Linked DNA regions of Arabidopsis thaliana. The protein of the gene in region 2 interacts with the protein of the main gene of each other region in a pairwise test. Each region holds a gene or a part of one and is shown on either strand. Other genes may lie near its edges. The genes, in order: SOB3, MEE60 and AT3G15800.

Region 1 (4,374 bases), on a different chromosome or scaffold from region 2:
ATAGTATGCAATTATCACAGTAACCGCTGTCTTTAAAACAAACTCATAAAATTCTAAATAGTTATTTAGTTTTTCGTAAAATTTCTAAAGCGTTATTTACTTTTTGGTAGATTCTTAACGCGTTATTTTCGTGATTAATTGATAAAAACGAAGAAATATTCATATTGATCTCATCGAAATACAATGTAGAACTCAGTTGGGTGAAACATGTACTAAATCAGAGATTCCATGCGTAAACAAGATATTCAATCTAGAGATTTTCAAATCATAAAATCTCGAAGATTCATGTATGGTATCTAGATGAATTAAAAAGAACAAGATGTTTGATTTGTTGGTTGATTACTTGATAGACATAGTAACATAGATTGAGTGATTACCTTTGATAACTACTCAAAAAGGGGATTACACATACCACATCCATGATATATACAAGTATGAGCCATTTCAATATTTCTATAAAATGTACTCAATAACTTTTTTGTTATCCAATTACAAAGGTAACTAAGTGATATATAAAAATTGGCTTCTAATAGCACTTTTATTGTGAACTCAAGCATATAACAAATAATATATAGGGACAGCACGAAACCCTAGTGATTAAAAAAGAAGAGAAAATGCAGATGGAGAAGTATATCATCTCAAGACGAATTCAAATATTCATATATGATCAACTAAATTAAAAACCAAACGATCCCCAAACAATGAAGATGATTTTTTTTTTCTTTTAATTTTGAGAAATGAAATTTGGTTACAGCTATGTTACGGACATAATTTTCAATTCTAAAAGGCTGGTCTTGGTGGTGCGGCTGCGGCTGCGGCTCCCCAACCAAGCAAATGAGGATCACCGGCAAACTGATCATAACCACTCATGTTACCTCTTAACTGTCCTTGACCGGCTCCAGATGGTGGTGATGATGACGTGGCCGGCGGTGGACCACCTTCTCCTCCTCCTCCCTCTCCAACTTCTCCTCCCTCTCCACCTTCTCCTCCTTCATCTTCAAGGGGAAGCCTTTCGAAAGTTGCATTAGAGAACGATGCAGCCATTAGTATCACTGGACCCGAAGCCACAAGCGGAGCCACCACGTTTCCTCCAATCACCTGACCTTGAACGCCGGAAAGAAAGATAGAAAGACCACCGGATCCTGGCGGCGCAGGGGGCGGCAACACCGTACCTGTGAGGGAAAGTATCTCAAACCTTCCATGTAGAGCCACAACACCTCCGGTTCCACCATTTGCCCCATGAGCCGCTGTCGTTGCCGGCTGCCGGAGACTGACGTTAGCCACCGTGCCGTTACCACTGAGAATGGAGACTCCTCTTCCTCTCCTGCGAGCGTAAGTGGTAACGCTCTCGACTATGTCGGCTCCAGATGAGACTTCAAGAACATGAGATCTAAGCACGTTGGGGCTATCTCTAGTCACTATCACCGGTGGCTTCGGCTTGTTCTTGGATCCCGGAGGACGTCCACGTGGACGTTTCCCGGTTGAACCAGAGGTAACTGGGTCGGAACCCGGATCCTTGTTGGAGTCAGATTCATCATCTGAATTCTGCTGCTGAGGCTGAGGTTGAGGCTGAGGCTGAGGCAAAGGGTGAAGTTGAGGCTGAGGTTGAAGCTGGTGATGAAGCTCAGGCCTGAAGAGGTTGTGAAAGTATCTAGAAGCTCCTCCGGATTGATCGTAACCACCGTCCATGGCAGCCGCATCTACTGACTCTTCTTGTTCTTGTGGCTCATATATATAAAGATATTGTGAGGGTGAAGATAGAATTCATATAAGAGAAACTTTGAGATCCATTGGAGAAGTCAAATTTCAGGAGGTGAGGAGCCAATAGCTTGAGTTGATCGGTTACACAAGCCGACAAAAACAGAGCTAAGAGACACAAATCTAAAGGGTATGCTTTGTGTGTTAAACCCTAACTCGCTTTAGGGCAAGAGAGGAGAGATTCTTCACCCGAGACGGTGTCGTATTAATTGATGTGAAAGAATTCTAGGGAAGCTTCAAATTAATTCATGTGCTGAGACTGAGAGTGAGTGACTCTGCAAGTACTTTTTTTGAACGAGGAAAGGGAAAAAAAAAGCAATAGACACACCGAAAATTTAGCTGAATATCATTCCTTTCGCATTAAAAAATAAAATACGCATAGGGGCATATATTAATATACGAATAATTGCATATTAATAATATACTTGAAATCCATGAAAAGACAAGGGTTTCGAGTTTTTCTTCTCTGGATATATGCGTTTCCCTTTTTGGCATATAGCTTCAAACCAAGAAAATAAAGGAAAACTTTTAAGAGTTAAAATTTAAAGAAAAAGGAAATTAAGAAATTTACAATTTAAAAGCCAAAGGTATATGAATAGGAGATGGAAGAAACATGCTGATATTAAATTGTTGGAATTTTTTTTTATTTTTTTTGATAAAGTTGTTGGAAATTATTATATAGAAAACAAACGAGAAGTCTAAATATAAATTATTGTATAAGTTTTTGAAAGTTACATATCAAATTTGTCCGCATAATAATGCAGTATTCCCTAGAAACAAATGTAATACTCCCACCATTTATCATTATATGCTGTTTAAAGTTAATTAACATATAGTATTAAAATTTAATTAAAGTTTCACTTCTATCTTTCATTAATACACAATTATATTTCTTTCATCAGTTAATACGTTAGAAAAACATAGATTTTTTTTTTGTCAATCTGTTAGAAAAACATAGATAAGACATGAAATTTTAACAAAAAAAAATATTTGCATTGAAAATATAAAATAAAATTTATCCTGAAACAAAATTAAAGTCTTAAAACGACACTTAATTGAAACAGAATAAACAGATGACAAAAAGTAAAATAAAAGTGAATCAAAAATGTTAGCCATGAATCGAATTGCCTTGAAGCGTGTGCATGTAACGCCTTCCATTATGAATTTCATCATTTTCTTTAAAACCGAGATTCTACCTATTCAAAACTAAATTCAGTTTCAAAATGTTTTTGGTCTTGGTCATATATTCTAAAACTAATTAAAAACTATTACCATGAGTGAGTGCACTTCAATTTTTATTAAACTAATTATAAATTATTATTGATAGTAAAAAAAATATAGACCAAACTATTTATTATCAATGTATATTAACTTTCTAAGTTAGAAATTCATGAAATTCGATATAATCTACATAAGGTACCCCAAAAAAGTGTATACAGATTTTAAGTGGGATTTGTTTAAAATAAACATATAAAAAGCATCATCTCTCCAGTGACATGTGTTAAGTTTCTACATTGAAAATTTCATATTTACATCAAAAGTTTGAAAATATCAATATTATATAGGGTAATATTAGAAAGTAACCATGGAATTGAAAAGAATTGAGAGAATAGCCTTGTGTCAGGAAACTTAGGTAAATAACATTTTCTATGGTGGATAAAATACTAAAATATCCTTAGATTTTCTTGTTTTTACAAAAATATCGGTGGTTGTAGTTATAAAGTTTTTATGTATTTGTCTAAAATAATATGATATATTTACAAAAGAGCATGCAATTCTTTAAAATACATACAGAATATATATACACGATATATATGTTTCTCTGAAATAATGTGTTTTTCAGAAATAGCACGAAATATTTATAAAAAGCATGCAATTCTCTTATAGATTGCGAAATTTAAAAAATTACAATATTACATGGGTTTTTATTGGATAACATGACAAATATTTATTTATTTCATGAGTTTTTGTTGGATAGCATGACAAATATTAATATATTAGTGTTAATAACATGTTTTGTTCTTAAAATACATGCATTTTAAAATCAGATATTTGTTTTAAAATCAAATTTAATCTCTTATATCACAACGACATTGACGGAGAATTCAGGTAAAAAGAGAAAATAAAGAATGAGAGATAGAGAGATTTCTATGGAAAAAGAAAGAGAGAACATGTGGGTGAACAAAAATAAAGAGATATGATGATATATTTTATGAGAGGTGGTGAAGATTATTTTAGGAGAGGGAGAGAGAAATAGAAAAAGAAAATGACATGGTGAATCTGAAGAAGATGAATTGTGTTAAAGATGAAAAGAGAAAGAGAACTCTATGGCTAAAGTCTCGTAAAGAACATGAAAAAGAAATAAAAGAAGGAAGAAGAAAGAGAAAGGCTAAAATAGACTAAATATTGCCAAAATTTCTGTAACCGACAAGTACTATTTGGTTCTAAGTTATTTTGTGTATTCTTTTCAACTCAAAGGTTATTTCTTACATATAAATATGAGTCAAACCATTCTTTGCTTTTTTTGCAATTTATGAAACACATTTTTAGTATGTTAATAATTATAATCTAAATGTCTTTTAAATTTTATCAAGTATAGAAAAAATTAAGACGTTT
Region 2 (3,407 bases):
GACGATTAGCGATGTTGCAGCGTTTAGGAATAGTCATCGAGATCTCTGGCTTTGCTCCGGAGCTCCTAGCTGTGGAAGAAAGCATGACAGCACAAAGGCATTTTGGATTCTGCCCCATCTGTTTCACTCGAGCACAGCAAATTGCTGACACTTTAGCAGATGTGTCTTGTGCAGCCATTGCACAAGGAGCCAACTTTATGGCTTCTCTGTCTGGAGGATTTCTCCCACATTCTCCAGCCCCATAAACCATGGTTTTAAGGCTGTAGATGCAGAGAACTAGGAGGAAAATGCGAGATAAAACATGGGTTTCCATTCTTGAGTGATGAGTTGATGCATATACTACTAGTTATGGAACCTAAGTTTTATAGCAACTGAAATTGCAGGAGGATTTGGAAGGATCAGAGAAATTCCACACAGAAGTAGTGGAAGAAGCACTAAAGGAACATAGTAATTACTTCACCTAATCAGTCGCATTAAGAGCCTCTAAGTGCATAGCTATTTTAATCTAAAGTAAGATCATGCTGCCCTTTAGTCTCTAAGCTAATCATTTGAACCTTTGAAGAAAGCAAAGAGGTATTTTTACATGACAAATGTAATAGCATAAACCAAAGAAAAAGCTTCCAAAAGTATGGTTTTATGAGCCTTCAAGTTTTAAGCTGAAAATTCACTGATCACCTCATGAGATCTAGATATATCAGGTTCCTTTTCTCCAGTCCTCAAAGCTATTTTTTCATACAATTATGCATACAAAGCAGTTCCCGAGATATGTGGGAATGGGATAGTATACAGAGGAAATCAATCATTCAGCTTAGTCAGAAGACACAAAACTATAAACAAGTGAAAAAACTCTATCCAAATGAGGAACAGAGAAAAGTTGTCTCTTTTTGATGAATGATTCCAAGTAGACTCTGCTTTATCAATAATCCAAGAGATCAAACCAAACAGGCATCAGAATCCAGCATAATCTCATACCCATTTCCTGGGATCAAATCAGTTTGAATGAATCCACCAGTTAATATTCCTGATAAAACACACATAAGTGCCTAACTCCAATCAAATCTAGAATATCATCTATCCAAAAACTCAGACACTAAACTTAAATCAGAAGCCAAACCAAGAGATTTACAAAGAACCATATCAAACATAGAATCATTCTCATTTCCATCATATCATCATCATACAAACATAACCCTAATTGCATCAACCATGGAATCAAAAACCATGTCTCTAACGAGTAAAAGCATATAACATAAGAGAAACATAGATGAAAAGTGCAGAAGGAACCAGAATCACAAGCGGCACAACAGCTGCATAAGTATGACCACTAGCACCACAGCCCAAAGTCCCAAGCTTGATCTGAACAACATTAATCAAAGCCAACATGAGAAACCCACATCCACAAACCGATCCCAAACCGGATGTAACCATCCCAAATCTAAGAGCCGTCTTGTTCACATAGTAAACCACAGGATCGATTCGAGTAGAGATGTGAAACGAAGAAGCTATGTTGAGCCTCATTGCTTGTTTGAGACCTAGAGCGATGAGACTTGAGAATAGGAATGATGCGAAAGAGTACACATGGAAGGCGACGAGATTCTCAGCCATACGAGCTGTGGGGACGCAATTAGGGTCGGTTACGAGGCTGTTGTCTGGATCGGTAGGGTTCCAAGCTAATCCGATGAATACGGCGAGTGTGAAGAGTGAGTTCACGTTGACGATTCCGTCGAGAGCTGTGATGTGAATACTCGTCGTCATTTTTCTCTCCGGCAGATCCGGCCAATCAGAGAGAGAGCTTCGTTCAGAAAGGAAATAAAAAAGGAGGAAGAGATTTAAAAAAAAAAAAAATCGCCGTTGCCGGGGATCGAACCCGGGTCACCCGCGTGACAGGCGGGAATACTTACCACTATACTACAACGACATTTTGTAGTGGGTTACAAAAAGAAACATTATAATCATAACTTTAAATTATACACGTTATTGGTGATTGTTTACCAAATAAATAAAGCTAGTAAACCAAACCAGAACAAATTTGATGAGAATATTTGTTACAACCACTCTCATTTTTGTCTATTTTGTGATCTGATTTGGTTTGCAAAGATAGACACTTTACCATTCCAAATAAGACAGAAACTACAAGTAAATATCAAACAAATCAATCCATGTCTGCATTAATTATACACTCTATTGAGTTTCTTCTATTAGCTTTTAAGAGACAGTGTACTTTGGAGGACCCTTTTGATGGACTGATGTTGAGTTTCTTTTCTTCTCTTCTTCCACGTCTTTGCTGATTTGGTTAATCACTGCTGTATCTGCATTATCTGACGGATTAACGCATATTTTCAGTTTTGATTCCATGCCAAGATAATTGTTCAAGACTCTTCTCACTCCATATCCTCGAGAAGGAAGACCTTTCTCAATGATTTTGTTAGTGTCCTTGCTGGAGTAAGGTGTTCTCCTCTCTCCTTTCTTGGGGCTAATCATTGAAGGAGAGAAGCCTGGTGTTGTTGAGAAGCTTGTTCTATATGGAGTTCCTGATGCAGATATTAGATAAGGGAGTGGTACTACTTTCTTGTGAGCTATAATGCTGCTGACCGCTGGACTTGACAAAAGATTGTTATCATCTGATTGCTTTGTTAAGTCGTCCACGTAGAGTAAATCATCGATTCGTGCTATGATGTTTGATGCTAAGCTCTCCAAAGCCCTTGAGTAGCTTTCGAGGATTGATTTCCCAATATCCTGAAATTTTCAAAGGACTGAATATATAAGAACAAGCAAAGCCATTTTGTACTGTAATGTATTTAGAGGATTTGTGTGTCTGGACCTTGTTCCATTGAATCTTGCTTATGTCTAGAGAAGTCTGCGTTAGAGAAGGAAACCGCTGCTTCAAGCAACGTAAGAGAGTTTCCGATCTCTCCACAAGCAATCCCCTTTTGTCACCAGCAGCCATTAGTTCTTTGACCATTTCCCATGTTAACTTTGGAGTAGTGCTTGAAGTATTATTGTTGACTCCAAGTTTTGTTTGAACTCTTCTCCTCCAAACATATATCGAAGCTTCCACACGGTTTGCGATATCAAGAGCAATATGCTCAGAGGACAGATCAAGGCAATCGAGAAGAGACTCCGCAGAAAATTTGTCAGATGTTACATACCTGTAGATAACATCCCCAAGGCAGGACCTACCGTTCTGTACCAAAAGTTTAATGTCAGAACAAAAAAAAAACCTTACAATGGTTTTTATAGGGATGTTTTGAGTTAAAGATGTAGACCTTTGGAAGGGTTTCAAGGTATGATTTAGGAACATCCATTTCGGTTAAAGCAAGGCTGTTAATAGCCATTGCAGCTTTAAGTATCTGCGTCGCACATTCCCTCTTATGATTCAATTCTGTTCTTGCTTCTTCAGTAAGACC
Region 3 (4,633 bases), on a different chromosome or scaffold from region 2:
AATTGTTAAATTTTTTGTTTTTGTTTTCTTGGCATTTTGTGGTTGATCTTTCTAATTTGTTTTCAGGGGTTGCTAAAGGGAAAGGAGAGAGATGGGTGGTGAAGAGGAAGTTGTTTCTGTTGAGCTACCAGCACCTTCTTCATGGAAGAAATTGGTTTGTTTTCTTTGTTTCATACAAAGACTTAGAATTTGTTGTATATGTGTAGTGCTGCAATTACCAAATCTTTTTCTTTGAAGACTCTGAATATGGTAGCTTTTGGTGGCGAAATGTTAGTATAAGTGTAAATAACTTTATGTTGATTAGGTGATTCAAAGGTTATAGACTTAGAAAAAGCCACATTTGATTGTGTTTGATCTACTATTTCTACTTCTTTGTTCTTGACTTAATGCCTCATTTTGACTATGTTTGATTTACTTCTTACTTTTCCCGATTCTTATGGATTTTAAGCCACTTGTAAACATTGTTTAAGCTACATTAAGGTCTTCTTTAGAATTTAATCTTTCAGCGTTTTGAACCTCAAATTTTCATATTTTCAGAGGTTTACATTAACTGACTTGTTTTTGCAGTTTTACCCCAACAAAGTGGGTTCAGTGAAGAAAACAGAGGTTGTGTTTGTGGCTCCAACGGGTGAGGAGATTAGTAACAGAAAGCAGCTGGAGCAGTATCTCAAATCGCACCCTGGAAACCCCGCGATCGCAGAGTTTGATTGGACGACTAGTGGGACACCTAGGAGATCTGCAAGAATCAGTGAGAAGACTAAGGCTACGCCGTCACCAGATAAAGAGCCACCCAAGAAGCGAGGTAGAACCAAATCTCCAGTGTCAAAGAAAGATGCAGAAGGTGAGAAATCAGAGGGAGGAGGAGAGGAAAACTCTCATGTGAAAGATACTGAAATGAATCCTCCAGAGGGAATCGCCGAGAATGAAAATGTGACCGATAAGAATGGCTCCGGTGAAACTGAGAGGGTGAATGATGCAAAAGAAAACATTGTTGCTGAGGAAACTCCAAATGCGGCTCCAGTTCAAGAAGAGGGTGAGTCGATGAAGGAGAAAGCTCTGGATTCTGTTGATGATAAGAGTAAGGAGACTGACAAAGAAAAAGATACTGGCTCAATCGAAAAGAACTCGGTAGATGTAGAGAAGAAGACCGTTGAAGCTAGTGATGAGAAGAAGAATTCTGAAGCTGAGACCAGAAACCATGAAGAAAATGGTCTGACCACAGAAGCTGAGGGGAAAGAGAAAACAGCAGAAGGAGAAGCTACCGGATAGCCCTGTTCTGCTCTGCTTCTGTTAGCTCATGAAACTGTAAGTCAGTTGTTTCTATCAATCTATTGAAGTATATGGTTTCCTTTTTGCTTCCTACTCGGAGCATTATCGCGGTGAAAGGTGTTGTTAGGCTGAGATATGTATTATGAGATATGTGCAAGTTCTGTTTGGTTGTAAGGTTATGTAGAGGATATATTATTGACTCTTCTCTAAAACCATTGCAATCACTAGGTTTGATGTTTTATCTTTCTGCTACAATCTTTAGTCATTTTCGTATGGATGGACAATCAAGTTATGAACAAGTCAGATTAAAGATCCACACATAGATTAATCTTCTAGATTTCTTTTTATCATTGGTTCAATCTTCATTTGAACGCCATAAAATGGGAAACCCAAATAAAAAAATGGAAGAAAGCAGAAGAAGACAAGAGGAAAAAGGTAAAAGTTTTGCTTTGAGAGTAAAGTAAGAATCTAATGCAAAGAAAGACTTACAATGTTAGTTTTCTTATTTCCTTGATTCCATCCTTTTGCATGGTCCCAGGGACGAGGGTTTAGAATCTTTCTATTAAGGAACAACTTCATAGTATAAACTCTTATTGTTCCCATTTTAGGATTAAAAAAAAAACTTGCTCTGTTTTCAAAAACATCATTCGAGACAGTATCTCAAATGGGTTATTGTGTTCCTCTTCGAAAGTCTCCAACTTCACATATGGTTTTCTCTTCTTTCTTCCTTTCGTTTCTCTTAGTCTTCTCTATACTCTCTTCACAAACGGCCGTAGCATTCATCGGAACATATGGTGTAAACTACGGTCGCATAGCGGATAATCTTCCGTCTCCTGACGCGGTAGCAACTCTCCTTAAATCAGCAAAGATTAGAAACACCCGTATCTACGATGCTGACCACTCTGTACTCACGGCGTTCCGCGGGACCGGGATTGAAATCATCGTTGGCTTAGGCAACGAGTTTCTCAAAGACATTAGTGTAGGAGAAGACCGAGCCATGAACTGGATTAAAGAAAACGTCGAGCCTTTCATACGAGGCGGTACTAAAATTAGCGGTATCGCGGTGGGTAACGAGATTTTAGGTGGCACCGATATCGGGCTTTGGGAAGCTCTCTTACCCGCAGCCAAGAACGTTTACTCCGCTCTTCGCCGTCTCGGTCTTCACAATGTCGTCGAGGTACATTACCTTAATCTTGCATACCAAACATGTCGCTAAAACCATGACATCTCGAATTTGCTTATTTTGTTTGGAAAAAGTTTTTTTAAAAGATTGCACGTTTAACCAACGTTAAATCTCATAAATACATTATTTTTTTCCGAGTAAAGTTGAGAATTTTCTTACAGACAAAATGATCAATCATTTTTTTGTAACCCAAAATGATTCAGTTTAAATATATAAATCTATTAACCTAGTAACAGAAGTTTGTATTAATGATATGACCATGTCGATCATAATCCAGCTAAGATACGTTAGTAGGCATGCATCAATTTGGATTTCTCTTTGAATTTTTTTCTTTTTAAATCATCTCTAATATTTTTAGGACATCAAACTTAGAACTTAAATGATGATTTAGCCTAAAACATTCAATATTTGTTTATAGGTGTCGAGTCCACATTCAGAGGCAGTGTTTGCGAACTCGTATCCACCGTCTTCGTGTACGTTCAGGGACGATGTGGCGCCGTTTATGAAGCCGTTGTTAGCGTTTTTTTGGCAAATTCAGTCGCCGTTCTACATTAACGCCTACCCTTTTCTTGCATATAAATCCGACCCGATTACAATTGACATCAATTACGCCCTTTTCGAGCACAACAAAGGCATCTTGGACCCTAAAACCAAGCTTCATTACGATAACATGTTCGACGCCATGGTCGATGCTTCTTATGCTGCTCTCGAAAAAGCTGGCTACACAAAAGTCCCGGTACGTCCGATCCTTATTACTATCAACCCTTTTTTTGTTTGGTTTCCATTAACATTTTCCCTTTGTTACAAGCTTTGCAAAGTACAAACGTAAATGTCAAACTAGACTAAAGACATTTTTTTGGGGTCAAAAACATGCATTATATGAGTTTCAACTGAATAATTTGACTCGTTATATGCATTTTTATTTTTCTATCAGTAACATGCATTTTTTATCTTTTGCTATCAGTACTACATGCACTAAGCTACATGTCTTGTCGTACGCGGATTTAAAAGCGTCATGCGAACCTGATTTAATCATTTAATTGTACCTAGGTGATTGTTTCGGAGACGGGATGGGCATCAAAAGGCGATGCAGACGAGCCTGGAGCGTCGGTAAAGAACGCGAGAACATATAATCGGAATCTTAGGAAGCGGCTGCAGAAGAGGAAAGGAACACCGTACAGACCAGACATGGTGGTGAGAGCTTACGTGTTTGCTCTTTTCAACGAGAACTCGAAACCAGGTCCCACTTCCGAGAGAAACTTTGGCCTTTTTAAACCCGATGGTACTATTGCCTACGATATTGGCTTAACCGGACTCAAGTCCTCTTCTGCCACACGGTATCGTTTTAAGTCGTCTCTTGTTTCCGCTTCTGCTTTCACGTGTCTTCTTCTTCTTTTTCACCGGTTGTTCCACTTGTGAGATTTGTGATTTTTTTAATTGGTCCTTTGATTATCAAGTTAACCCGTAATTCTTGATTTGCTTGTGATTAGTCACTTTTAACTTTAAAATGTTAATATACGAGCTCCTAATTACTTTGTGTAATGTCTTCTTGAAATGATATTGTTTAGTGAGGGTAAATGTTGGATTTTTCTACATTATTCTCTAAATATTTCATCCCAAGTCAAAAACAGTTAAAGAAAAAGTTTATTACATAAGCTGCATATGTGAGTTTTTGATGGGACTCAATCACATGAAAACATCACTAGCTACATAACTATTTAAATGTTGTGTACTCACATAAATTTTGATCAAGTATTTGTTCTAACTATAAAATTATTTTATTTGTTTTGTCCATTGTCTACTTGGTATATATAGCTATCAACCATGTATTTACGTGAGCATGAAAATTTTGATTACGTTAACGAATCAAATCTAGAGAGTGCATTAGTCAAGATATATCTTCTCTCTTTATTAGATGCCTATATAGTTTTCTTATAAATCTTATTCGACCACCTTCTATTTATGTATTAATATTCCTACGCACTCTCTGATCTTGTGTCAACTAACACTAATAAAATTATTCATGAGATTCAATTTCCACTTGGCAGTAAACATGTGTACGATACACGTTACATCTCTCCTATATATTAAAAAAGTTAGTACTTCGATAGAAACATTTTGCAACTAACACAATAAATAAAAATTTATCAATCGAACTTATAATTAATTAAATCTTTAACA

The links.
Region 1: the proteins of MEE60 (region 2) and SOB3 interact in a two-hybrid assay, tested with the Arabidopsis thaliana proteins (one large-scale study listed by BioGRID).
Region 3: the proteins of MEE60 (region 2) and AT3G15800 interact in a protein complementation assay, tested with the Arabidopsis thaliana proteins (one large-scale study listed by BioGRID).

Annotation. Positions count from the first base shown.
Region 1 is NC_003070.9:28,702,847-28,707,220, reverse strand, and holds SOB3 (Putative AT-hook DNA-binding family protein), read right to left. Parts: upstream 2,259-4,374; 5' UTR 1,690-2,258; coding exon 781-1,689; 3' UTR 530-780; downstream 1-529. UniProt on the Arabidopsis thaliana protein: Transcription factor that specifically binds AT-rich DNA sequences related to the nuclear matrix attachment regions (MARs). Acts redundantly with AHL18, AHL22 and AHL27 in the regulation of flowering and regulation of the hypocotyl elongation.
Region 2 is NC_003076.8:1,787,162-1,790,568, reverse strand, and holds MEE60 (maternal effect embryo arrest 60), read right to left. Parts: upstream 1,832-3,407; 5' UTR 1,756-1,831; coding exon 1,228-1,755; 3' UTR 577-1,227; downstream 1-576. Other genes in the region: AT5G05960 (Bifunctional inhibitor/lipid-transfer protein/seed storage 2S albumin superfamily protein), read right to left, coding at 1-313; ROPGEF5 (ROP guanine nucleotide exchange factor 5), read right to left, coding at 2,206-2,736, 2,822-3,184, 3,267-3,407.
Region 3 is NC_003074.8:5,343,118-5,347,750, forward strand, and holds AT3G15800 (Glycosyl hydrolase superfamily protein), read left to right. Parts: upstream 1-1,871; 5' UTR 1,872-1,933; coding exon 1,934-2,446; intron 2,447-2,870; coding exon 2,871-3,188; intron 3,189-3,502; coding exon 3,503-3,871; 3' UTR 3,872-4,030; downstream 4,031-4,633. Other genes in the region: MBD11 (methyl-CPG-binding domain 11), read left to right, coding at 92-154, 568-1,269.